Caenorhabditis elegans: one gene and its partner. The protein of the gene in region 1 purifies or fractionates together with the protein of each later gene. This does not show direct contact. Each region holds a gene or a part of one and is shown on either strand. Other genes may lie near its edges. The genes, in order: T28H10.2 and cnp-2.

Region 1 (11,567 bases):
ATACAGTACTTTTTGAAAAGATGAACAGCAATGTGATGGCAACGGAGATCAAGAACTGGACGAGTTTGTGTTAGTACTCGGCTGATCAGACTGAAAAAATATAATATTCTGAGAACCCAGCATGAAATGAATACATGATATCATCATATGAACGCATAAGTTCAAAAATTGAAGTAGTTTTTACTTGTGAATTACCATTTTTTCCAGTTTATCAAGGATTTTTTCTCAATTTTTAGAGCCCATCAGAACCCAAGAACATCCCCATGTCAGCTCGATTTTTCTTCAACTTACTCTTCAGACTCTCCATCAAAGAACTTCTGAACAATCATATGTACATTTCTCTTGATTGCTCTTCGTGTCTCCTTGATTCTATTGATTTTGTACTCTAACTTGTTCGACGATAACAAATCATTCGACTTTCTGTGTTGCGAAATCAAGTGATTGAGCTCAATATCTCTTGCTGGCCAGTTGACAGATTTTGAAGCAGACAATCCCTGAAACAAAATGACCTTTTCATGACAAAATATCAATTTTCACATAGATACTTACAAAATCTTCGACATACTCTCTATCTTCCTTATCTCCTTGGAACAAGGCTACTGCCTCTTTCGCAATATCCTTATCACCAAACTGCATCACATGGGAAAGGTTTGTCTCTTTTTTAACTAGCTCGTATTGGAATTCAAGAGTTTCTGTCTTCAAATCTTCTCCGTCACTATCAGTCATCCAGTTAACACTAAAAAGATCTCCAAGGCACGGAAGATTCATGTCGTTCTCACAGAATGTTCCCCATGAACTTTCATGGCTATTTGCAGCAGAAATTGCATAAACTATAATTCGATAATACTATAATATTGGAGAATTCTCTGAAACTTACTATCCATATCCGATCGGAGTACCTCTTCAAACATGCTTCCAGATTCACAGGCTTCAAGATAAAAAGTCAACTGTGAGTACTTCTTATTCTTGTGCATCCAAACAAGAACATCATTCAGTTGCTTTACAGTCAAAATGCCATCTGGGAATGAAATCATTCCAACCGCACCGTGATCAGTGAAGTAAACAAAAACGCGATCATTGTCGTTTCTGAAAATAAAAAACAAGTTGACACAATTGCTAGAAACCTCACGTTTCAAGAACTCTTCCGTTTCCACCATCAATTCCGCTGGCATTTCCTTTAAGAACATTCAAAAAGTTTTCCGGTGTCACTGAAGCACCTTTGTAATCAATTTTCAGACCTTTGTAGAGGTCTTTTCCATGTGGACGATTAAACAGCTTCCCTTTGTATGGATTTCTAAGCAAAATCCAATTAATCAAAATCTCCATAGAGCACACTTACAATGGATTATTCGCCACATCATCATACATCATTGTAATAATATTTTCCTCTGGAATTCCATGATTTCTAAGTGTGTGATACGCATGTGCCACATCAGCTTGATGTCTGTAATTATACCATCCATTTGATCCAGCTACCAACACAACGAAAGCTTCTCCTTCATCTTGATACTTGTGTTTCCTTTGCCGTCCTGCTGCCAGACCTTTTCTAGGATTATATCGAGCTTCTGTCACCAAGAACAGAACAATAATGCAAATTAAAAGAGCAAGTGGTCTCATTATAAAATAGGAAAAAAGTAAAGTGAGCCGGTGAAAGGGGGACAATAAGACTGACTGGTCTGCTGGACAACACTGTGTTATCAGATTACCACTTATATAATTGATAAGGAAGACATAAGGTTGTGTTCAAATAGAACGAGGTATCGATGATGGTGAAAGGTGTCAGCTGATCAACAAACATGACACTTTGATTTTGAATTACTAGGAAAAAGAAACGATAATTGTGTGTGTGGAGTAGCTACGAGTTTTGAGTTAATGAAGGACTATAAGTATTATAATTTCAATGAAAAAATTATTATAATTTTGCATTGTTTTAAAATAAAAATTCAGTCCCGGGGAATGTCATTTTTAAAACAAATGTCTTCTAGATTTTTTGAGGTAGAAAGTTAATAAGAGCTTTGGTTTTCCAGAACAGTATAATAAGAGGGAAATTAAGAACAAAATTAAAATTTCGGAACAAAGTGTATACGGTAATAGTTTTTTTTGAGCTTTCCTATCGTTATTGAAATTCTTTGTTTGTGTATTCTTTGATTCCTAAATTCAAAAAAAAACGTTGTCTTAATTTTTTTTTTCAATTGTAATGCTTTCCGGAAATTAAGACAAAAGTAAAAAAAAAACAAGAAAAAACGGAAACCATACAGTTACTGTATATAGAGGGTTTTTCTGATATTTTGCTAAATTGGAGAGTGAATTTTAGAAATGCAAAAGAGGATCACTCTATCTCTCCCATAGCCCAATATCAAGTCTGTTCAGTTCAAAATAACCCAGACAGTTTTTATTCGGTTTTGGTTCATTGAATATTTTGTCTTCTCTCTACTTCTCCGTCTTTTACTAATGCCGATATTCGTCGATTTTCATTATCACACATGAAAAGGAAGGAAGAACACAGAAAATTAAAGAATACGATGATGGGTAATCAATTGATGCCAAAGGCACGTTGGTGGATGACCTTCTACGATTTTATTTCGTTTACTGTCTTTCTTCTTAATGATAAAAATAGAAAGAGGAAGTCTCGAATAGTTTGATAATCACACTTAACACTTTTGATTGATTTAATTTGCAGAGCGATTGGTTGTATACATATATTCTCTGATGAGGTTTTTGTTGGTTTCAGGAGTATTTCTGGCTTATGTCGCACCTAGTTGTGAGTTTTACCATCCAATTAAAGAATTTTTTAGCATTCTAAAAATTATTGATAGGTGTTTAATTTATCAGTTAAATAAGGATTCAGTTTCAAATTTGAAATTGCTCTCAAAGAAACTGCACAAAAGTTGACGAAAAAATTGTTTTAACTTAAAAAATTAATTTGTACGTATTTGAAAATATTTATTTTTAACTAAAAAAAAAGTGTTCAATTAATATAGCTTTTTCAGTGCAACAGTGTTTCGATAGCGACGGAGCATGTGCATCGTGGGTTGCTTCGGATCGAGGTTCATGTCAAAGAAAAGAGTACATCAAGAAAAACTGTCGAAAAAGTTGCGGAAATTGTCCTCGCTATGAGTTAAAATTCGATACTCGTCGCTTGAATCCACAACTTCAACCTATTCACCAATTGGTGGGACGATGGAAGGGTGAACATACCGGAAAAGTTACATTTCCAACAATTCCAACTTTCAAATACACAGAGGAAGTCGAAATTTCAATTCCTGAAGGAAGCAATATTCGATCACTCAATTACACGTGAGTTAAGATTTGACTACTGTTAAAATGTTTTGAAATTTTTTAAAGTTTTCAGAAATTAGGTCTGGGAAAAATTACTCAGCTAAATTATTTAGTTTTGATATTCTATAATTGGTTAAAAAGTGTTGAATTCAAACATGAAATCACTCTTTCACTCAAAAAATTCTGATAGAAAGTTAGACTTGTAGTAACTATTGTTAATAGGAAAAACCGGTTTGTAAATGAAATATAAAAATCTATCGTATTAATTTTATAATTTAGTTTGTAAGACTGCAATACTAATAGAGAGCACACAATAATTAACAATATTTTTGTTTGCTTCAGTGCCGCCGCTTGGTCTAGTGATAAAGAAGATCTTCACCGCGAATCGGGTTACATCATCATTAAACCAAACACTCGTGAAGTTATTTTGACAACAGTCATGTCCAATGGTTTCATTACTGTTGAGGAAGGTTCAATGGTTGGAAACAACATTAAATTTATGCTCAAAGATATCGGAAGAATCAGCTTTGTAAGAGATGAACATCTCCATAATGTAAGTTAACGGATAGTTTAAGCACGAAGGTCAAAATATTTTTTGCAGCTAATTCGCGAATGGACCCTGGATAATGGTTACCTTCGAGCCCGTCTCAGTATTCAAACGTTATCTCATAGAATGCAGGAACACACTTCAATATTATACACAAAAACTTCAGTATAAATAAAAATAGAAAACGATTGTTTTAAAACTTTTCAAAAAGTGCAAAATAAAAAGAATGCTTTGTAATTGTTTTAACCAAGAAGAGAATCAAAAATATGAATTATCAAAAAAACTTCTACCTTGTAGCGTATAGTGCATAGCGTATAGCGTATAGCGTATAGCGTATAGCGTATAGTGCATAGCGTATAGTGCATAGCGCATAGCGCATAGCGCATAGCGTATAGCGTATAGCGTATAGTGCATAGCGTATAGCGCATAGCGCATAGTGCATAGCGCATACCTAGACTACCTAGACTACCTAGACTACCTAGACTACCTAGACTACCTAGACTACCTAGACTACCTAGACTACCTAGACTACTACCTAGACTACCTAGACTACCTAGACTACCCAGACTACCTAGACTACCTAGACTACCTAGACTACTACCTAGACTACCTAGACTACCCAGACTACCTAGACTACCTAGACTACCTAGACTACCTAGACTACCTAGAGTACCTAGACTACCTAGACTACCTAGACTACCCAGACTACCTAGACTACCTAGACTACCTAGACTACCTAGACTACCTAGACTACCTAGGCTACCTTACCTAGACTACCTAGACTACCTAGACTACCTAGACTACCTAGACTACCTAGACTACCTAGACTACCTAGACTACCTAGACTACCTAGACTACCTAGACTACCTAGACTTTCTAGACTACCTAGACTACCTAGACTAGCCTCTATTAACAATACTCTTAAAATCCTTGTTTTATTAGATCAGAGATACAGAAAATCAATCATAGACTCCGCCCTTACCTTGTATTTTTTGCGATTTTTCATTGATTATTTTACTTCTCAAAACTTTATGTAATTTTCTTCAATAGATCGAATGGCAGTGTTAGTTTTATCAAGAAATATGGGTGCCCTTATAGGTTCAAATGAAATTGTTATATTTGGAAATAATTTTCAACTTCAACTCCGTTTTCCCATCCATCAAAATTGAATATCATCTTTTCCAACCCATAACTCTAGATGCTAAAAATGTCAGCAGGCCCAAAAATAAAGCTCATCGTTTTGCACGTCTCCACTCCAACTTTTACAGCGACTCATGGGGGCTTCCGCTTAAAAAAAGAGTTGAGCTATCAATTCAACTCATCATTTATTCGTGTTTCTCCCTTTGCTTTGTGGTCCATGATGTCATGATTAAAGAGATCTGGAAAAAAAGTTGGAAAGAGAAAAAAAGAAAATTTAATGAAAAATTAGTTTGACCGTAAACATCTCGTTCAGATTCGGAGACGAGTCATTTAGATCAAACTGCAAAAAGAAAAAATGGAAAGAGGAAGAAAATATTCAAGTGAATTCATAAAAAGATAGAGAAAAAGTAAACATGAAATCAGAAACCTCCGTGACAAATTCAAAAATAAGATCGAAGGTGTCTTGGTTTTTGAAAGCTTTTCTAGATTCTAATAACAAACTATCGATTTCAATTTGATCTTAATTTACCAGTAGACTCCAATTAACATCTGACAGCTATGATTATGCTATATTATGACAAAGATTTAACCTGCGACACTCAACTGCGAACCCTCTGAAATTTCAATCAGGAACTTGTCAGTGCATCATTTTACTGATTTTGAGGCCTGTAGAAATACTCAAAAACTCTTTTTTTTGCAGAATTGTGCTAGTTTTAAGAGTGTTCAGGAAAGTTGAATGCAAATTTTTCAATTTTTGTCAAAGAAATATAAGTTTTCAATCAGTTTCCAGAATGTTCGTTTATATATATGTTTCGTTTATTTATATAAAACGCTAGCTTTCCTAATCGGTTTCTGTATTTTTTATAAATTTGGAAAAATTCCCATTAATTATTTTTTGTTCCCAGTTTTTTGAATGGCTCTCGTGGCCAGAAATTATCTGATCTCAAATTGGTAAGTATCCAGATAAAATACTTCTTCAATTTCACAAGATGATCGGATGCAGTTGGCCTACCCACTATGTGAGCGCAATTTCTGTAAAGCATCGTGCCATAAATCACCAAATATTTCCATCATAACTTTAAAATATTTCAAAAATGTACGTAAAAACGTTCCATTTGTGATCACCAAAATAGAAGCCCGATTTAATTTCTTTTTCAATATTCTAACAAGTCACCAATCATCGGAACAAAGTAATAGATGTCAATGACGCGTGGGTTCTATATAAAAACAACCAATTTCAATGATCTGATCAAATAAGTCAAAATTATTTTTATGATTTCTGTTTTAGTGAAATTTGTATTTAAAAATAAACGAAGTAATTGACAATGATTTCTGTCAGCTAAATTATAAAAGCTGAGGAAAAATCGATCATTTCATATTTTTCATAGTTTCTCTGAATTATTAAGTAGAGATAATTTTTTTTACAAAGTTTCCATTTCTACAGCATATTATTATAATTTTAAATCAAGAACTACAGTAAGCCGTTTTTAAAACTGTCTGAACTTGATTTTGAACTCAAATTTTCATAGTAAAAATGAGTTCACTCGTTTCTCCGATCTTCTGCAAAGTTGTTGAACTTATTTTTGAAAAATAAACAATTATAAAAATAGACAATAAAATAGTGTAGCAGAGCACGTCACCAGCAGACGTTTCAATGTTCTCCGTGAAACTTTCAAATTTGTCAGATAACCACCACATATTCAAATGACGTACTTTCTTCTTGTCTGTCAGACTAATGTGACTCACTTGTTTATTCGTGTGTTTAGCCACATGCACGAGTTCCTGAAGCCTAATCAAAAATTATGAATTATTGATGTTGGAATGTATTGGCGAATAGGTGATTATGGCCTGTCTGATGTGTTGATTTGGTTTAAGAACGGCGAGCTGAATTAATTTTGTTATGAGCTGGTTTGAGTTGTCTGCTCACTGAAGATAGCAACTTTGTAAATAATTTCTTCATTTTTAAGCAAGGATGCATTTCTAGTTCAACTTAGTGAAGTTAACATACTTATTTAAACTAGTTATCCGTACTGTTTTCTTTAAAACCCGTTCAGATATTCAAAAAAAACCTGAAGCAGAAGGAGACTTCTTGAAGATCAATTTATGTTCTTTTGAAATTTTACAAATAAAAAATAATTTAAACAACTTAACAAACTTGTTTCTCAACTTTGTAACTCATAATATTCTTGCCCAAGTCTAACAAAAAAGAGTGTTCAAACACGGGTTGTCTTCTCAGAAGTTTGTCTAATTTCAAAACAAGCTACAGCACAAGCTCGGTAGAACAATAATATAAATGATTACAAATCACCATTTATTACCCTTGGTGCCCCCAATTCTTATTCTGGTTTTGCCGGAGGCCTACCAACTTTTCAATCATTGGTTTTGATAAAAATTGGGCAAGCCGTGGACGAATGGATAAAACATTTCTTCAATTTTCTAAATTTATATTCCGGAAAAGAAAATGGCAAATGTTTCCACACGTTCCCTAAATATTCTATTGTGAGATCAGAATGTTCTCGTACTCTTTTTCTAATATATTTTAATAAGCATTCAAAATTATGCATGATGGAAGTTTTAGTGGACATTTTGAAGAAGTGCGAATTTTTTAATGTGCCGGTTTTTTGCTATATAATACTTTTTGAAATTTGTACCTGAAAACGCACAAATTTACTTGAATGGATCCACCGTAAAAATCTTAAGGAAGAACTTAATGGTATTGTATGTGCTCGATATACCCTGTGGTCGGGAAATTATAAATTTTAATTTGATTTTTTTTTCAAAAAGGGGTTCAGCATCTTTATTATTTTCAAAATAAAAAATTAACGGAAAGTTAAAAAATGCAACCATTAGTTTTTTACGGCTTCACTCAAACTTACAAAATACCAGAACTGAGTATTATTTCCCCAATCTCTAGAAAAACTGTTGTTTTTTTCTAGAAAAACTTTATTAAATAGTATCCACGTACATACTTGTAACGGTAGCTAGTGGGCTTTTTTTTATTAGAATGTACATAAATGACTAGTTTTTTAACGTCGTTGTGTTCAATAGACACATATACATGTAAACATTCACTTCAAATGTATGCAATTTAATTCTAATTTGCAATAATTTTTATGACATCATCTCAATAATTTTGATATGTCTCATGGCATTCTTATGTCTCCCACTCTTAAAAACTATCATCAGTTCATTTTTCTAGTCCATTCAATTCATCACTCAACCCTCTCAAGTCAGCAGGAGAAAAAATGTCATTTTCACTCTATTTATACACCAACAACTTTTCCCCCATATTTTTATTGGATTCGGAATACTCCGCTCTCTGACTGAAAAAGGGCGTGGCCATGAATCCCAAATATTCTTCATATTCAATTGCCGACTGGACCCAACTCATTTACACATTTTATATGATGTTTCCCATGTTTTTTATCTTTTTGCTTCGCATAACTAGACTAGATATACAAGATTAATAATGCTGCACTTGTAGGGCGAAAAATGTTGTCAATTCGTACATTTGTTCTGGTACTGTTGGTTCTCGTTGGGCTCGCCGCGGCTCTGCCGTATTTCCGATTGAACTACGATTACGATCCGGTTGATTTGGATAATGATGTGAGTTTTGAAAAGTTTTGAAGAAACCTACTATTACCGTAACCTTGGGTCAAGACTGCGGTATGATTTTAGCCCCAAATTACCAATTTTCATCCAACTAGCTATTGATTTCAATTAACGTTAATCTCTCTGTTTAAATTCTTTAAAAAATAATAACTGGCAGACCAATCAGTGATTTACTCTGCCAACCAATTAGACAGAGTGTGCAGAATACGAGGACGCTGATTGGTTCGAAAGTGGGTGTGGCTTCTTCTTTTAGAGGGAATTCAGACAACATAATTATTTACAGTACTTTTTAATATTAGACTAGTTCTGGTTTGGGCATTTAAATGCCAAATTCACATTCATACTACCTGAAGATCCGTCAATGAAAGATAAGGAAGGTATCTCGGTATTTGGTAACAAGTTAAGCCCAAAAAATTTAAGATGTGTTCCTAGATTCAGAAAAGGTCGAGTTGGCCTATAACTGATTTTGTTAATAATGATAACTTGCTGGAAATCATGTAGAGATTCGATTCACGACAATCGAAATAATCTAATCTTCAAAAAAAGATTTCTATCAGAGTAATAAATCTTCCTGAAAACTTGAAAAATAATATTTACCCTTACTAAAATTGCGTGACCTCAATGGTGGTTTAAACCAATAAGTTACTCTAGGTTAAGAACTTTTTGTTTTTGTAAATACCTCCTCACCAGAAACTATAAATTTTACTATCTTCTACATTTATTCTTGAGATACAAAAAGCTTCCTCGTTTAGGCTAGTTTCAAAATGAATTCTTATTTCAGGAGAAAAACGCAGCTCGTCAATTTCTTCCGTACATGAAACGAAACATCGCAATCGGGCGTGGTGATGGTCTTCGACCCGGAAAATAAAATACAAAAATTGCACATTCTTCTTTTGATATTATGTTTTTATCACATTTTCTACTAAAATCTCAATTAGAAATTGCTCTTGCTCATTTCATTTAACAACTTGATTCCGTTTCCTGGTGTGCTGTCTTCATCTGTTTGTTTTTCTTTTTTTTTGACGATCTCAAAATGGTTTATTTGATTTTCCCATAAATACATCAAGTTCTTCATCTACATCAGCTGTAATATTTATAAAATCTGCGTCTTGGAGAATTTCTTCGAGAGACATCATTTGAAATGGTATAGCACAGGAAGTAGTAGACGGAGATACTTCTGAAGCAACAGCGACACAATGATTCTCTCCAATAAATGACTCTTCAAAAATCCATTGTGGTTGTGGAATCAAACGATGATAATATTGGGTTGAAACTGTTGAGTGACCTGAAAAGGATACATAAAACGATAGATTCTTTCGAAAAGTTAACCTGACGCGTGATCATAACTGGAATCTACTTGGAAAGTATGATTGTGCAGTCCATCTGGAAGTCCAACTCCCGTAGCTTTTAGAATTGATTCTTTCAGACACCAAATTCTGTAGAATGCGTGCCATCTAGAAATTAGGATGATTTATTAAATTTTACTGATGATTTCAATATTGTCAGTTTTCAATTTTCTGAAATTCGTATTTAAAGGCGCACGAATTTATCCGGATGGGTCTCGCCACTGATATGTTCGGTGCCCGCTTTGACGTTATTCAGGATATTGTTATAACGTCATTATGAATTTTGTTGAGTTTTTTGTCGTGAAAATCGGAAAAGCTCTGCCATAAACTGAGATCCATCTGATTGAATCCGTGAACTTTTATATACACAATACAGAAAATTAAGAATTGTAGTTTGAAACGATACCTTTTAAGTTCACATTTATCTCCCCCTTTAACCATTTCTATTTCATTTTCACTGAAATGTCGCTTCAACGTATTCATTTGTTCACTAGCAGTCTCACGCCGAGCTTCATTAACTCTCATCACATCGACACCTTAAATAATTTTGCCTTTATAAGATCAAAATTCAAAACATTAGTACAAACCTATTCTAGTATCTCCGGTAGCTAATACAACTAGATCACCATGATGCGATACGTTGTATTCGAAGTTTTGACGAGAATAGTCTGATTTATTTTGAATAAGAGATGGTTTTCCATTTTCATTCCGACTAAACTCTAGATCTGACCACTGACGAGATATTGATATAGTGGCAGCTTTTCTGAATGTCTTCCAATTATTCAAACTCGAATAACATTTTGTTAGAACCTTGGAATTAATCTTCCTATCAGACATGCCAATGCATCTTCTTTATATCGAAACCGTCTCTGCTGCTCCACATCACTTTCCGATGCACACAAAATAGCCCGTCTAAACATATTTTGGAATGTAGATGAAGTTATCGTTTCTTCCAGCGATATTGCCCATCTTAAGCTCATTGCGCTGGAATTTATGATGAAAATTGAGACGGATGAGCTAAATTAGAAATCATCAAGAGGTAGATGCCACATTTCATAAAAATATCAGTTTGAAGTATAGCACAGAAAACTATATTTAATTTAATATTATAATAGCGATTATTAAGTCAGCTGCTCACTGGAATGAATTCCAGAGAGGGAGAGAGAAATAGACAGTAAAACGAGTCTTTGAAGTAAAGAACAACTCAATACAGAGGCGGGGATGAGTGGTAAAAAGATTGCATAATGTATTTCCAATATTGAAAGTAGTTATGTAATTCCGAGACGACGGGCTTGTCCCTCATAAATTAAAAGTCGCCACATTTTGATCACAAATTGCTCAGCATCCTCGTCAATGATCTGAATTCCATATATTAGATTTTTACTTAATAATTGATCATCTCACGACGGCGACGTCTTTGAGTATTTCTTGGGGTGTCGCTTGTTTCTCAATTTGATCACAGATGAAATCACAGAACGATTTGTCTTCTTCGCCAAGGAATTGAGTGACTTTTTTAGCCACCCACGGACGAATTCGATCATTCATCCATTTCCCATCTAGCTGATCCCATTCGATTCTATGAACAAAAAGTTCATCTGAAAAAAATCAAGTTTTAAATGTTTTTTTTTTCAATAAACATATCT
Region 2 (14,516 bases), on another chromosome or scaffold:
CCCACATTCACCACACCACAACGAGCACCTTCTTTAAACTATTCCAAAAACAAATACAAGCTTTATTGGAGTACAAAGTAGATTATTTTATAAATTATCAGCAATCAAAATTATATTGTTTCAAGGTGGAACGGAGAGACGGAAGCTATCCGGAAGAATTGTTAATTCAGAAACCGTTCCTTTGTTGCATGTGAGATATTCGTAATTCTCAAATCTATGAAACCGATCATCCTGAGATCTGTAAAACCGTGTTGTATGAGAAACAAAGAAAAACAAATGAAACTGACTGTTGTCTAGAGTTGGTCCCTTCAAGAATGATGGATTTATCAAGGTGCGATTCCATTTGTGCTAAGAAATATTCTAGATGACTGTTTTCCTTCCATTTCTTGAGGAGTAGGTTTAAATGAAGACTGTTGATGTTGATCCTACCTAGTGTCACAAACGAAGAACACATCATCAAATCAATCAAATCATCATCAATATCACTTAATTCTATAGCATGCGGTCTTTGCACACAAACTCTCAAATTATTCGCTTTGCTCTCAAGTAAGCCCCGAAAAAGTTGCTTTGATATGCCTTCTCCGGTAAATTTCAAGTGATTAACTTTTATTGTTTTCCTTGCAATAAGTTCAACTATACTCTGAATATCCCCCTCTAAGTAATAAAGAACTGTTATATCAAGGTTTTTGTTTATTTTTAGGTGCTCTAGAAAGTCCAAAATTGTTTCCAATACTCGATTAACATCTCTTCCCTTATATAAACTAATGTCCTCACAATCAGTTAAATTTCTACAGAAGATAACTTCACATTCGGATTCAAGGTAGTATTGCCGTGCAGTAATGCTTAAACTAAGCCAGCGTTCGTCCTCACTCTGGCGCTTTTTCGCGCGCTCTATAGATTGTTTCAAAACAAATTTAATTTTTCGAGATGTTGCGCGAAGTATGCATCTGAAAGCATTGATTTAGAATAAATAAGAAATATGGTATTAGCTTACATATCACTTATTTTCAAATGATCCAATACGTCAGAGAGAACAACAGTTGGAAGTTTGAGTAGATGGAAGGGTGCAGGAGACGACATCTAGAGTGCTATGAAAGAGAAAATGACGGAGATTGGGGCAACTGTACACAGTGAGACAGTGAGCGCGCACAGTTCGGGGGTGCCCTAGTAGAGACTACATCTTGAAAACGTGGTGCCTCACGAAGTGCTGCAACATGTTTTGAAAAGTACCGTAGTAAAACACCATTTTTAAAATGATTCTCAAGTGTATTTATTTTTAAAAAACCGTCACAACATGGGAATGCCTATGATTGTGGGGCGAAATATTTTCTAGCGACTTTTACCGTAGTATTGAATAAAAATAACAACAATTTAGAATTTAATTTCAAGTGCGCGCGCGACAATTTATATTTTTCATTTGCATGACGCGCCATATCGAGATCAAACGGGAGACGCGAAACGTGGAACCGCGTGGAGTCAGAGTGTCTTATTTTGATTTGATCTTCAAAAAATGCGGGAGTTGACACACAGACATCTCATGAGACAGTCTCCTCGACGCACGTGGTGTCAGGCTGTCCCATTACGGTTTTTTTTTGCAAATTTTATCTCGAAAATTAGTGTTCTATACTTTATTATATTCATTCTATACATCAGCTGGCAAGTGAGAGGTGACCTATCTCCTCACTCTCTCCATCCGGCTTATTTAACCAATAAATACATGTGTTTTTACATTATACTTAACAACAATAAACAGATACGGTGGTACCCTTATCTTCCGTTTATAACACCTTCTCTAAACTATTTCAAAAACGAATACAAGCATTATTAGGGTACAAAGTAGATTATTTCATAAATTATCTGCAATAAAAGTGATGTTTCAAGGTGGGACGGAAAGGAAGAAGAAACTCGGAAGAGTTGTAAATTGAGAAACCTTTCCTTTCTTGCATGTTGTGAGAAATTTGTAATGCTCAAATCTGTAAAACCAAGTTGTATGAGGAACAAACAAAAACAAATGAAACTGACTGTTGTCTAGAGTTGGTCCCTTCAAGAATGACAGATTTTTCAAGGTGCGATTCCATTTGTGCTGAGAAATATTCCAGACAGCTATTTTCCTTCCATTTCTTGAGGAGTGCGTTTAAATGTTCGACCGTCGGAAAGTGAAATTCCAATTTTATGCCTCATAATTTTAATACACAAGTTCATTACTTTAACGATAACCATTTTCCTATCAGTTATCATCAGAACGTTAGTTTTGTCAATATGAATTTAAATGTGTACAATGTATAAACATACATTAATATAAAACCGGCAAAAACTCGGTTGCCATTGTGAAAAACCACTAAGGAATAGTATAAACTTTCCGTTTCAGTTATTTCCCCACATTCACCACACCACAACGAGCACCTTCTTTAAACTATTTTAAAAACAAATACAAGCTTTATTGGAGTACAAAGTAGATTATTTTATAAATGATCAGCAATCAAAATTAAGTTGTGATAAAATCACCGAAAACGAAGAGGAAGAAGCAATTCTCAAAAATTGTTAAGTCAGATACCTTTCCATTGTTGCATGTTGTGAGAAATTCGTAATTCTCATATCTATAAAGCCGAGTATCCTCAGATCTGTAAAACCGCGTTGTATGAGAAACAAAGAAAGACAAATAAAACTGACCGTTGTCTAGAGTTTGTCCCTTCAAGAATGACAGATTTTTCAAGAGGCGATTCCATTTGTCCCGCAACAAAGTATTCCAGACTGCTGTTTTCCTTCCATTTCTTGACGAGTACGTTTAAGTGATCACTGTCCAAATTAATCCCACTCAATGTCACACTCGTACAATGTACCATCAAATCAATATCATGCAATTGAATATTATGTGCCGTCCTCCTCACTGTCAAACGAGTCGCTTTACTTTTAAACAAACCCCGAAACAATTTATTCGAAATGTTTTTTCCTTCAAACTTCAAGTTATTAACAGATATTTTTTTTCTTACAATAAATGCAACTAATCTCTTAATATCCCCCTCGTTGTAAAGATCGCTTATATCAATGTTTATGCATACTCTTAGGTTCTCTAGAAAGTCCGAAATTGTTTCCAATACTCGATTAACATCACTACCCTTATATAAATTAATGTGCGCTGTCAACTTCGAAAAGATTATTTCAAAGTAATCTTGGCATGCATAAATATTCAATTCAAAAAAGCGTCGATCCTCACTCTGGCGCTTATTCGCGTGTCCAATAGATTGTTTGACAGCACATGTAGTTTTTCGAGATGTTGCGCGAAGTATGAATCTAAAAAAATTGATTTAGAATAAATAAGAAATATGGTATTAGCTTACATATCACTTATTTTCAAATAATCCAATACGTCAGAGAGAACAACAGTTGGAAGTTTGAGTAGATGGAAGGGTGCAGGAGACGACATCTAGAGTGCTATGAAAGAGAAAATGACGGAGATTGGGGCAACTGTACACAGTGAGACAGTGAGCGCGCACAGTTCGGGGGTGCCCTAGTAGAGGACAATGACGTCACTGAACCTCCACACTCAACGAATCGATAATTGTTATGCAGCGTTGCTCGTCGTTTCTCCCTCACTATTGTCTCTTGCACCATCTGAGAAATGTGGTTCACTTCCGGTTCGCCCTTCCCTCTACTCAAACTTCCACTGGTTGCTATTTCTGAAGTTCTGGATCACATGGATACCGGGGATATGTGAGTTTAAATAATTATTATTTTCTTTTAGATTTAATGTAACAGATTCCAAAGTTTTTTTTTCGTTGAAAGTATATTTTTGAGCGTTTTGGAAAAAATTATGGTCGTTTTTTTTCGTCTACAGTAAAATTTTAGCATTTTTCAGGCTCTCTGAATGCTTTTTTTTGTGCTTTAATTTTCTGGCAGTTGCCGAATCCAAAAAATTTCGGCAACCGGCAACTTTTGGTTGCCGCACAGCCCAGGTGGCAAGTATTGTCTTACCATATTTGAAAGCTCACTTTAAGCTTGAAATTTGCACTTCCGGTAAACGCACAAAACTGGCTTATTTCAACATGATAATCCAAACTTTTTGATCTAAAATTAATATAGAAGTGTAGAAAATAAGTTGTTCTATCTGAAAATAAGATTTATTATTGTTAAAAAGCTTGAAAAAGTCATCAAAGAGTACTCGAAAGTTGCCGCTTGCAGAAAAAGTCCCGTTTAAAGTTTTTTTTCGGAAAACTTTCAGGCACTATTTGATGGCTTTTTCAAACTTTTCAACTAAAATAAATGTTATTTTCAGATAGAACAACCTATTTTATACATTTCTATATTAATTTTAGATCAAAAAATTTGGATCATCATGTTGAAATAAGCCAATTTTGTGCACTTGCCGAAAAAAAAAAGACTAATAGAGCATACTCACAATGAAATATTTCCAGATGTGCACTCCGAGTAACATCTCAAAAAACGAAGAACCTCGTCCAGCAGTCTGCAAGACGCTTCACAGACCGTCCCAAGCATTTGTGCCAGCTTGATATAATTGCACGTCGAGACCATTTTATTCTCGGCTCTCGAATTGGATTTGATCGTTGTACGGAATTATATAAAGGAAGAGATATTGATAGACTATTGGGAACAACCAGTGACCTCCTGGATAATCTACATGTTGAGCACGTTAATCTGGATATAAGACGTCGAGATGAAGAAGTGGAGATTCACAAAATTGTCACAATGCTCCTGAGAAAAAAGGCCAATGTGTTCAAAACTCAGAGATATGAACAGTTTTGTGAATTTTTGTATGCATTATTCGGTTTTTATATTTTCTCATCTCTTTTCCTCTCTATCTTCGTCCGTTTCTCATTTCTTTATCCCATTTTTTTGATTTTGTTAATTGTAATTTTTTCTATTGTTTACTTGTGGAAATATTAGAATTACTTGATATCTAACATTGAATGAATATTTTTAATAGTGAATTCGTAGTCAGATATGTTAGTTTTTTTTTTGCATTCTGAATGTATAAATTTATGATCTAACTAATAAGGGGTGGACGGCATCTTAATGGGCAAATTGCAATTGCCGGTCTGCCAATTTGCCAAAAATTTTAATTTCAGGCAATTTGCTGATTTGCCGGAAATTACAATTTCAGGCAATTTACCGATTTGCCAGAAATGTTCATTTCCGGCAATTTGTCGATTTGCCGGAAATTTTCATTTCAGGCAATTTACCGATTTGCCAGAAATGTTCATTTCCGGCAATTTGTCGATTTGCCAGAAATTTTCATTTCAGGCAACTTGCCAATTTGCTGGAAATTTTCATTTCAGACAATTTACCGATTTGGCAGAAATGTTCATTTCCGGCAATTCGCCGATTTGCCAGAAATTTTCATTTCAGGCAACTTGCCAATTTGGCGGAAATTTTGATTTTTGGTAAATTGCCGATTTGCAAATTTCCAAAAAAAAAGTGCAAAACCACAATTTGCCAAAAATTTTCGACCATTGCAGTTTTTCCGGCAAATCCGATACTTTGACAATTTGCCGGTTTGCCGGAAGTTTTTCTTTGCCTGCCTTTTTTAGCAGACGTTCACAAAATCAGAATTCAAAAAAAAAAACTGAATCATGCAATTAATCATGATGAAAAGTAACCAAAAACAACACAAAAAGCCGAAATCGAATCAAAAAGTGAATGCATCATTGTCCAAACATATAAAACATTCACTTTGAAGTATATTTTACGATTTTCCGTTTTCGGAACGTCACTTTTCTTGCCAATAGGCGGGGTTGCCAAGGTAGTCTCACATTTTTGCAATTTTCTTAAAGATGCTTTTTGGAAGACATTTTATTCAAAAAAAAAATAGAAGTTAAAGATGTTTTCTATGTATAGCTCTTTTCTTTTTTGGTTACTGTTTAGGCAATTTACCGGTTTGCCGTTTTGCCGGAAATTTTTATTATTGGCAAATTGCCGATTTGCCGGAAATTTTGATATTTGACAAATTGCCGATTTGACGGAAATTTTGATATTTGGCAAATTGCCGATTTGCCGAAAATTTTGATATTTTGCAAATTGCCGATTTGCCGGAAGTTTTGATTTTCGGCGAATTGCCGATTAGCTGATTTGCCGGTTATTTTGATTTTTTGGCAAATTTCCGGTTTGCCTAGTTGCCGGAAAATTTGGTTTTTGGCAATTTGCCGATTTGCCTATTTGCCGGAAATTTTGATTTTTGGCAATTTGCCGGTTTGCCTATTTGCCGGAACTTCTCATTTCCGTCGATTTGCCGGTCTGCCGGAAGTTTTCAATTCTCACAATATGCCAAAAATTTTCGGCAAATTCGGTAAACTGGCAATGTGCCGATTTGTCGTTTTGCCGGACATTTTCAATTCAGGCAATTTGCCGGTTCGCCGCTTTGCCGGATATTTCATTTTTCAGAATGCTTTTAGACCTGAATTTGGTAATCAATACACTGAAAAATTTTATTTTTTTTTGATTTTTTTTTAAATTTAGGTTACTGTAGCCTCATTTCTGTGTGAAAACCGACACATTCCCATAAATTCATGGAAAACCCAGTTTTCAGGGATAAGCAGTGCTTCTGAATCTAAATTTCACAGTCAAAGCTGTTACTCTTCGAGGCAAAAAATCTTAGTGTCGGCACTTCATTTGAAAAATCTCAAGTACCTGTCACTCTCACATGTTTGACCCATTTTTTCGCCTACAGGAAAAACCTTCAAAGTAGCCTTATCCCTCGTTTTCCCTCTATTTTCTAATAATTTTTTTTTGTCCGTTTACACATGTTCTGGCGGTGGGCTGTCGAAAAAACAAATAAAACAGTCATTGAAACTATCTTTTTTTTCTGTGTAAATAGTAGTTTTTTGGGATTAAACTCACTTTTTTTAAAAAGATTTCCTGTATTATTTTGTTGTAAAAATTCACACGGGGTTCTGGCCTACCTCATTGCATTTTTCGCGCTCCATTGACAATCGCCCGCCGGACAACGCATGGGAAAGTCATGTACTCCACACGGACAACTTCATTTAGTTTTACAACTAAAACCGAGCCGCGACGCGACACGCAACGCGCCGTAAATCTACCCCAGATATGGCCGAGCTAAAATGGCCTAGTTCGGCAAACTCTTCCATTTCAGTTTATGAGGGACGTCGGAAAAAAACTTGAAAAACTACTTTTTTTTGAAATTTTTTTCAAATTCAGAACTATTTATGTTGACTAAAAGCTCTATATATTCCATAACAAAAAAAAAATGCAATTTCCCAAAAAAAAATTCGAAAAAAAAAACATTTATGTTTACTAAAAATCTCAGCGCTCACAGGAGCCCCACATATTTTTTTTGGATTTTTTTTCAATTCAAAATGAAATTTTTGCACACATATATGCTGCACACGGTGACTACTAGTATACACATATACATATATAAAGAAGAACCAACAGATTTTCGGAATTAGCGGCACCCGGGGCGGAGAGGATGATCCTACTCTCGGCGGGCTCGCCGAGCCCACTGGATGTTTCTCTCTCTCTTTGAGCACTTTTGGAATGTATGCATGTTCGTTTGAAATTACTTTTTATGTAGTTTTATGTTATAAGTTTTATTAGAAAATGTATGAAAATTCATTGAAATTGGGTTTGTTTTTATTTTTAAAAAATTTGCAAACAAATGTTTTTTAAATTTTTTTTCTGGAATTTCTAAGATCTCTACGAATCTGTTTTCTAAAGATATTTTAACATCTAAATTATTTATTTATTTATTTTTCCACAATAGTTTTTAAAATAGATTTTCTATATTTAAAATCTTTTTTGAAATTTCGAAAAAAATTTCCAATAATTAATTTTTTTAAAAAATTTAGAAAAAAACCGATTTTCAGAAGTCTTCTCCTTTTTAAAAAAATATATATCATGTACTTTTTTCTCAATTTTTTTTTGGCATGTGAATATATATGAAATTCGAAACTTGATGCCCTCCTGTCTTCCACTATTTCCTCCCACTTTCTTGACATTTTCCCCCCAATTTTCTTCTTATGCGGTCTTTTTTATGCAAAAAATTTGTACGTTTATTTATTTATTTTTTTTTTTTTATTTTTTTTCAGGAGCTTATAGTTTTTTTGAAAAAGATGAACCGTGGATATGATAGTTATAACCGTGAGTTTTTTTAAAAATTAAAAATTTCAAAATTTCAAAATTTGACTTAAAACTAATTGTAAGTACTTTCAGGTTTCTCCAAAATTTGTCAAAAAACACTGTAAAATATGCTGAAAAAAATTTTAAAAAATCGAAATTGTTGAAAATAGTTTTTATATACAAATTGGACAAAAAATTCAAAACAGAAAAAAATTGGAAACGACTGAAATTTATTTTTTCAAAAGTACAGAAAATTCTATTAAACATTTTATTGTAAAAGGCTAAAAGTAAGATCTTTTTCGCAATTTAAAATTATATGCATATTTTTTAAAAATCTGAAACTTCGATTTTTTACAAAATTTTAGAAAAATATTCCCATATTTATTCCTAATACAGTCCAAATATTTTTTTATGCCCCTAATTTTCAGGATCCCGATCTACATCATCTAGACCCCTGGATCGAGAGCCCTACCATGCTGTATCAGAGCTGTACACCAAGGAAATAACCCATACTCCAATTGGTCCAGCTTCAGACCTTCCTCCAGAAATTTTGGATATTCTTAAAGAAAATCCCCGAGCAACACCACAGTATACACCTCCGTTGATTAGGCAGTAGGTTTTTTAAAAATGTTTCCAAAAATGTGAGAACTTTGACAGCTTATATCTCAATTCTCCTAATTTGTATAAAAAATTGACAACTGATAAAATGTTTATCAACTATTTTTCTATATTTTTGTAGTTTACCATTACTCATTATCTTCAAAAAGAACTGAGATACGAGCTGTCAAAGTTGAGAAACAAAGAAACGAAAATCGGGGCAAAAAAATTTCCGAATTCATAGAACATTTGGAATTTTACCAAAACTTTGACTCAAATTTTTGAAAAATCTGAAAATTTTTGGAGTGTTGGAATACTATTAAAATCCAAAATTTGAAACAAATTTCCAGCCGCGAAAACACATGGACCCCAGAAAACTACCCAATTGTTCGTGTCCCTTCTGCACAATTCACAGATGTTATGACTGAACTGTACGACTATCACGAAGTAGAGGTAAGATTTATAAACTACAAACTACAAACTATAAACTACAAACTATAAACTACAACTACAAACTACAAACTACAAACTATAAACTACAAACTACCAACTACAAACAGCAAACTACAAACTACAATCTACAAAACTCTACCACACGGTCAAATTTTTTAAAGCTTTTTTTTTGTTAGTAAAATAAAGGACAGTCATTAGATGGCTGAAAAAAATTGGGCAAAAATAAATATTTGCCTAAATTTATTGAAAACGGGTAATTCTTGCGGATATATGCTTAATTCAGAAAATCTAGGTTTATCTTATCAAAACTATTGAAAAGTGGCAAAATTGGGCAATTTTTGGCAAAAATTCACAATTTTGAAACTCCTCTAACATGGTTAATTTTGTAGTTAGAGGACTCAAAATTGATCTCAGAACCCTAAAAATTGTCCTTTTTCAGTTATCAGTAGTTTTGTTTAAATTCGTTTTTTAAAAAATTTTTTGCCCAAAAAAGGACAGTCAAACGAACAAAAAGGACAGGCTGAAAAAAATTGGGCAAAAATAAAATATTGCCTAATTGTGTTGAAAACGGGAAATTCATATATGCCGAATTCAGAAAATCTAGGTTTAACCCATCAAAAACTTTTAAAAAGTGGCAAAACTGAACAATTTATGGTAAAAAATCACAACTCTCAAAGTTTCGTTGCTGACTGTAGTGTAGATTAAACTATACAAACTACAAACTACAAACAACAAACTACAAACTACAAGTAAGACAGAAATATGTTATATTACAGAAATACACACACCGATCGGTCACCCCAGACTACGAGCCACTACGGAAAGAGCCGGAGCTCAAGGAGCAAAAATGTATGTTTATTCAGTTTTTTCCTCTTTAACTGCTAAATTTCAGTGCCAACCTACCAGGTGATCCCTCCGACACCCGAAAAGAACACGCCACGTCACCAGCACCATTCGGGTATCACACTGTCCCCATCAGATTCTTCAAGGACACTCGGAGCCCTGCCAAAGAAGCCTCCAATGTACGAAGAGTATTTGCAAATGCAGAAGAAGGACGAAAATCGGAATATTCCTAGACAAGTCTCCTCGGCGGATTCCCAAAGGACGATTCGGAATAACAACGAGCTCAGTCACTTGAGACACATCGATTCCTCGTCGTCTTCGGAAGCTTCCGAGCCAGCGAAGGATCTTGATGATCGTGAACGTTATGTGTACACACATGATGTCTACGTGGATTCAACTACGGGGCGCCCGTTCACACCGGGGAGAGAGGATGTTCGGGAGAAGAAGAATTGCGATAAGTTGAAGATTAATGTGAGTCCTAATTTTGAGGCACCACGGTTTCAAGATCTGGTGGGATTTCGGATCTATTATTTCCGGATCTACGATTTCCGGATCTATGATTTCCGGATCTACAATTTCCGGATCTATGATTTCCGGATCTACGATTTCCGGATCTACGATTTCCGGATCTATGATTTCCGAGTCTACGATTTCCGGATCTACGGTGGTAGATCCGGAAAACGTAGATCCGGAATCCCACCATATCTTGAAACCGTGGTGCCTCTTAATTTTTTAAAAATGGTTTTCAAAAAAGAACAAACTTCCAGGTCTACTTCAAGCCTCCACACCCTCCAGTAGAAATTACATACAAGTTGGACGAAATTGAAATTGAGAAGAACGAAAATATGTGAGTCACCTGTCCTTGTTGACTAAAAACTTCAAAAAAAAACCTCCAATTTCAGTGTAGTAACGAAGCTCCGCCCATCCCGCTCCGACACTATATTATCGCGTAGTGTTTCCACAAGTCCGTCGTCAGTCACTGATAATATTCCAAAAACTTCAACTTCAAGAATTCCCTCAAGCGAAAACCCGAAAACGATGGAGCACACCACAACCAGCCGCCGCTTCCCAACTCAAACCTCTATTCTCAGAAAAGAGCACGAAATTGTGCAAGTGCCACTTCATCGGAGCCAATCGCTCAGGCAATCTAGAATTTCGGAGCATAGTAAACGGTTTGTTTGGTTTCGGAAAATTTTAAACATTTTTGAGATAGAATAAGATTTTGGCATTGCCGAAATTACAGTAATCCATTAGTTTTTCGTTTTTCTACAGTACTCTTACAGTACAATAGAGCCACAGTAGTCATACAACATCCCTACAGTACCCCTACAGTAATTATATAGTAACCACATTGTGCCCCGTTATTATCAAGACAGTAATCCTACAGTATCACTACAGTACTCTAAAACCACAGTAATCCTCTAGCACTTCAACAGTACCCCTTACAGTATCCCTACAGTAATCCTACAGTACTCCTACCGTCCCCCTACCGTACCCCTAAAGTAATTATACAGTAACCCTAATGTACCCCTTTATTATCCCGACAGTAATCCATTAGTACCCCTACAGTACTCTAAAACCACAGTAATCATACATCACTCCTACAGTACCCCTAAAGTTATTGTACAGTAACCCTACCATACCCCTTTATTATTCCGACAGTAATCCTACGGTACCCCTACAGTGACCCTACAGTGTCACTACAGTACTCTAAAACCATAGTAGACACTCAGCACCTCTACAGTATCCTACAGTACCTTTACAGTTATTTTACAGTAACCCTACCATGCCCCTTTATTATTTCGACAGTAATCCTACAGTACCCCTACAGTGGCCCTACAGTATCACTATATTACTCTAAAACCACAGTGATCCTAAAGCATCCCCACAGTACTCCTACAGTACCCCTACAGTGACCCTACCATAACCCTTTATTATCCCGACAGTACCCCTAGAGTATCACTGCAGTACTCGAAAGCCACAGTAATCCTACAATATCACTACAGTAATCTGAAGCCACAGTTATCCTACAGTACCCCTTACAGTACCCCTACTTCATTAGTACCCCATACAGTACCCCTACAGTACCCCTACAGTACCCCTACAGTATCCCTACAGTTCCCTTACAGTACCCCTACAGTCTCACTACAGTACTATACAGCCACAGTAATCCTACAGTACCCATTACAGCACCACTTCCAAAATATATTCAGTTCCAGATCCCTCGGCAAAACCACCTCTACAGTGAGCACAGAGCGTCCAATTCCGATCCACGTAGTGGAGGAGACGTCATCAATCGATATGGATGTCGTTTTTCCAAAAATGCCACATCATCAAACCGTGACAAACGTCAGAGTTCCTTCGAGCAGAGGATCAGCAATATCCAGAGCTCACAGTGAGCATCGCAGGTCGATTGACAGGAGGTAAAAAGTGATATGTAGCACATTTTTAATCATAATTTTTTTTGCAGCGAACCACGTCACCACCATCGTCATCATGTTCATTCCGAGACCCCTGAACTTCCATATACTAGGTGACAAAATATCTGGGCACACATTTGTATAGAAAGACTTTTCAGAGGGATCTCCAAGACTCCGAGTGTTCGAGAATACAATGTGAAGCGGGAAGGTCAGAGATCGCCAAGCAGGTCTCATAGATCTGAAAGGTACGGTCGATCCGTTCTTAGCTTCGGTTTCTGCTTAGGCGTAGGCCTCGGTTTAGGCTTAGGCTTAGGATAAGGCTCAGGCTTAGTCTCAGGCTTAGTCTTAGGCTTTGGCATAGGCTTGGGCTTGGGCTTAGGATGAGGCTTAGGTTTTGGTTTTGGCTTAGGCTTAGGCTTAGGCTTCGGTTTAAGCTTAGATTTAGGCTCTGGCTCAGGCTTAACATAAACTTTCGATTAGTATACTTTTTGTTGATGCCATCCACCAAGTATTTACGGGGTTCCCTAGTTAGAGTTAGGCTCACGCTTAGGCACAGGCTTAGGATTAGGCCTAGGCGAGCTACTAGTTCATACAATTTCTCGGTTTTTTTTTGCAGAAGCCCATCAGAGGTCCGTATCCCGGTGACAACTACACATACTCGGTAGGCTTTGAGAAATTTCTAAAAATTAAAAAAAAAATTTTCAGCCCGATTGCAAAACGCCAAAGCCCGGAGGAGCTGGATTATGGAAGGTGATTGAAACTGCCGAGCTCAGTTGCTGATAAAATTATCGAAAATTCCAGATTCGCGGATAAAAGTCAGCAGAACCGATTTCCGGGGGATCATCAGGCTAGGGAGGAGGACTTACCGTATACCAGGTAATTTTTTTTTAACTCGGGGAGCTTTCGGCAAACCTCGATAATTTTTCAGGGGAATTTCCAAGACTCCTAGCAATCAGGATTCCAGGTCGGAGAGGTAGGGTAGATTTCCAAAAATTTAAAAAAAAAACCAAATTTTTCTAGAACTCCGTGCTCGGATATTCACATTCCTTACAATAACCCTGAAAAAGAGAGGTACAGTAGCAAAACCTACCGTAACCCTACAGTAATCCAAATTTCAGAGCCTATCAGCAATCCGAGCGGTCGTCTTATAGATCCCACAAATCGGTGACCCCATCAGAAAAGTCGTAAGTTTTTTTTTATACAGTAGTCCTATAGTAGTAAATCCAGGTTACCCCGCAATTCGGAGACCCCCGAGCTACATTACACCCGAGGAATCTCAAAAACGCCAAGCGACAGGGTGGAGAAGTCAAGGTACCTATCACGTGGTGTCAGTACCCCACATACCCCATCTGAAGTGCACATTCCATACAATAATCCAGAGAAAGAACGGTAAATTATACCTGAAAATTGAAGTTTTATCGATTTTTTTGCAGAGCCTACCAACAATCGCACCGCCCGTCTTCGCCAAAGAGACGCCCGTCTGGAAGGTGAGAAAATCGATATTTTTCGATGAATTAATCGATAATTTCAAAGAAAAATCGATATTTTCTAAAATTTTTCTGATTCCGGCCACGGGGTTCTGGCCTTCCTCATTGAATTTTTCGCGCTCTATTGACAATCATTTAGTTTTAAAACTAAAATCGAGCCGCGACGCAACACGCAACGCGCCGTAAATCTACCCCAGATATGCCCCAGCCAAATTGGCCTAGTTCGGAAAACTCTTCCATTTCAATTTATGAGGGAAGCTAGAAATCCCATTAATTCCGGAGAAAAATTCTTCCGAAAAATCGATAATTTTCCCATTTTCAGAACAAATTCCCCCAACAAGTCCAGCAGCAGCTCCAAGGTACAGTAACCACCCCCCCCTCAAACTATCGATTTTCCAACAAAATTTGTTTTCCAGGCGAGACCATCGGCGGCTCCACTCGAAGAAATAGTGCATATCAAGGAGAGATACGAGAGAGACGAGACGATTCGCCGATTCTTCCCAACTACGACTGCAGTGTAGACTATCTTAAAATTATTTTTCTCGAATTAAAAAAAAATTGATTCCCATGCTGTGCTTTCTCGACAATAAATTGCTTGCCATACATTTTTTTTGTGGATTTT

What was found.
Region 2: the proteins of T28H10.2 (region 1) and cnp-2 fractionate together in Caenorhabditis elegans (co-fractionation; one large-scale study listed by BioGRID). This does not show direct contact.

Annotation. Positions count from the first base shown.
Region 1 is NC_003283.11:12,503,142-12,514,708, reverse strand, and holds T28H10.2 (ShKT domain-containing protein), read left to right. Parts: upstream 1-1,759; 5' UTR 1,760-2,709; coding exon 2,710-2,761; intron 2,762-2,990; coding exon 2,991-3,297; intron 3,298-3,621; coding exon 3,622-3,832; intron 3,833-3,880; coding exon 3,881-3,997; 3' UTR 3,998-4,064; downstream 4,065-11,567. Other genes in the region: lgmn-1 (legumain), read right to left, coding at 1-90, 292-494, 550-830, 878-1,086, 1,130-1,294, 1,340-1,617; nlp-46 (Neuropeptide-Like Protein), read left to right, coding at 8,459-8,572, 9,360-9,446; T28H10.1 (L-aminoadipate-semialdehyde dehydrogenase-phosphopantetheinyl transferase), read right to left, coding at 9,607-9,863, 9,908-10,032, 10,331-10,460, 10,512-10,687, 10,735-10,904; rbm-25 (RRM domain-containing protein), read right to left, coding at 11,193-11,282, 11,329-11,519.
Region 2 is NC_003280.10:12,752,734-12,767,249, forward strand, and holds cnp-2 (Calcineurin-interacting protein 2), read left to right. Parts: upstream 1-8,063; 5' UTR 8,064-8,087; coding exon 8,088-8,115; intron 8,116-8,522; coding exon 8,523-8,706; intron 8,707-9,041; coding exon 9,042-9,144; intron 9,145-9,920; coding exon 9,921-9,993; intron 9,994-10,036; coding exon 10,037-10,458; intron 10,459-10,754; coding exon 10,755-10,834; intron 10,835-10,889; coding exon 10,890-11,159; intron 11,160-12,206; coding exon 12,207-12,410; intron 12,411-12,457; coding exon 12,458-12,520; intron 12,521-12,565; coding exon 12,566-12,652; intron 12,653-13,023; coding exon 13,024-13,068; intron 13,069-13,112; coding exon 13,113-13,157; intron 13,158-13,208; coding exon 13,209-13,283; intron 13,284-13,335; coding exon 13,336-13,380; intron 13,381-13,427; coding exon 13,428-13,478; intron 13,479-13,525; coding exon 13,526-13,591; intron 13,592-13,634; coding exon 13,635-13,796; intron 13,797-13,840; coding exon 13,841-13,894; intron 13,895-14,216; coding exon 14,217-14,253; intron 14,254-14,310; and 3 more. Other genes in the region: Y46G5A.39 (F-box domain-containing protein), read right to left, coding at 121-238, 288-947, 995-1,080; Y46G5A.7 (F-box domain-containing protein), read right to left, coding at 2,486-2,621, 2,671-3,291, 3,339-3,424; Y46G5A.8 (F-box domain-containing protein), read left to right, coding at 3,620-3,711, 4,413-4,902.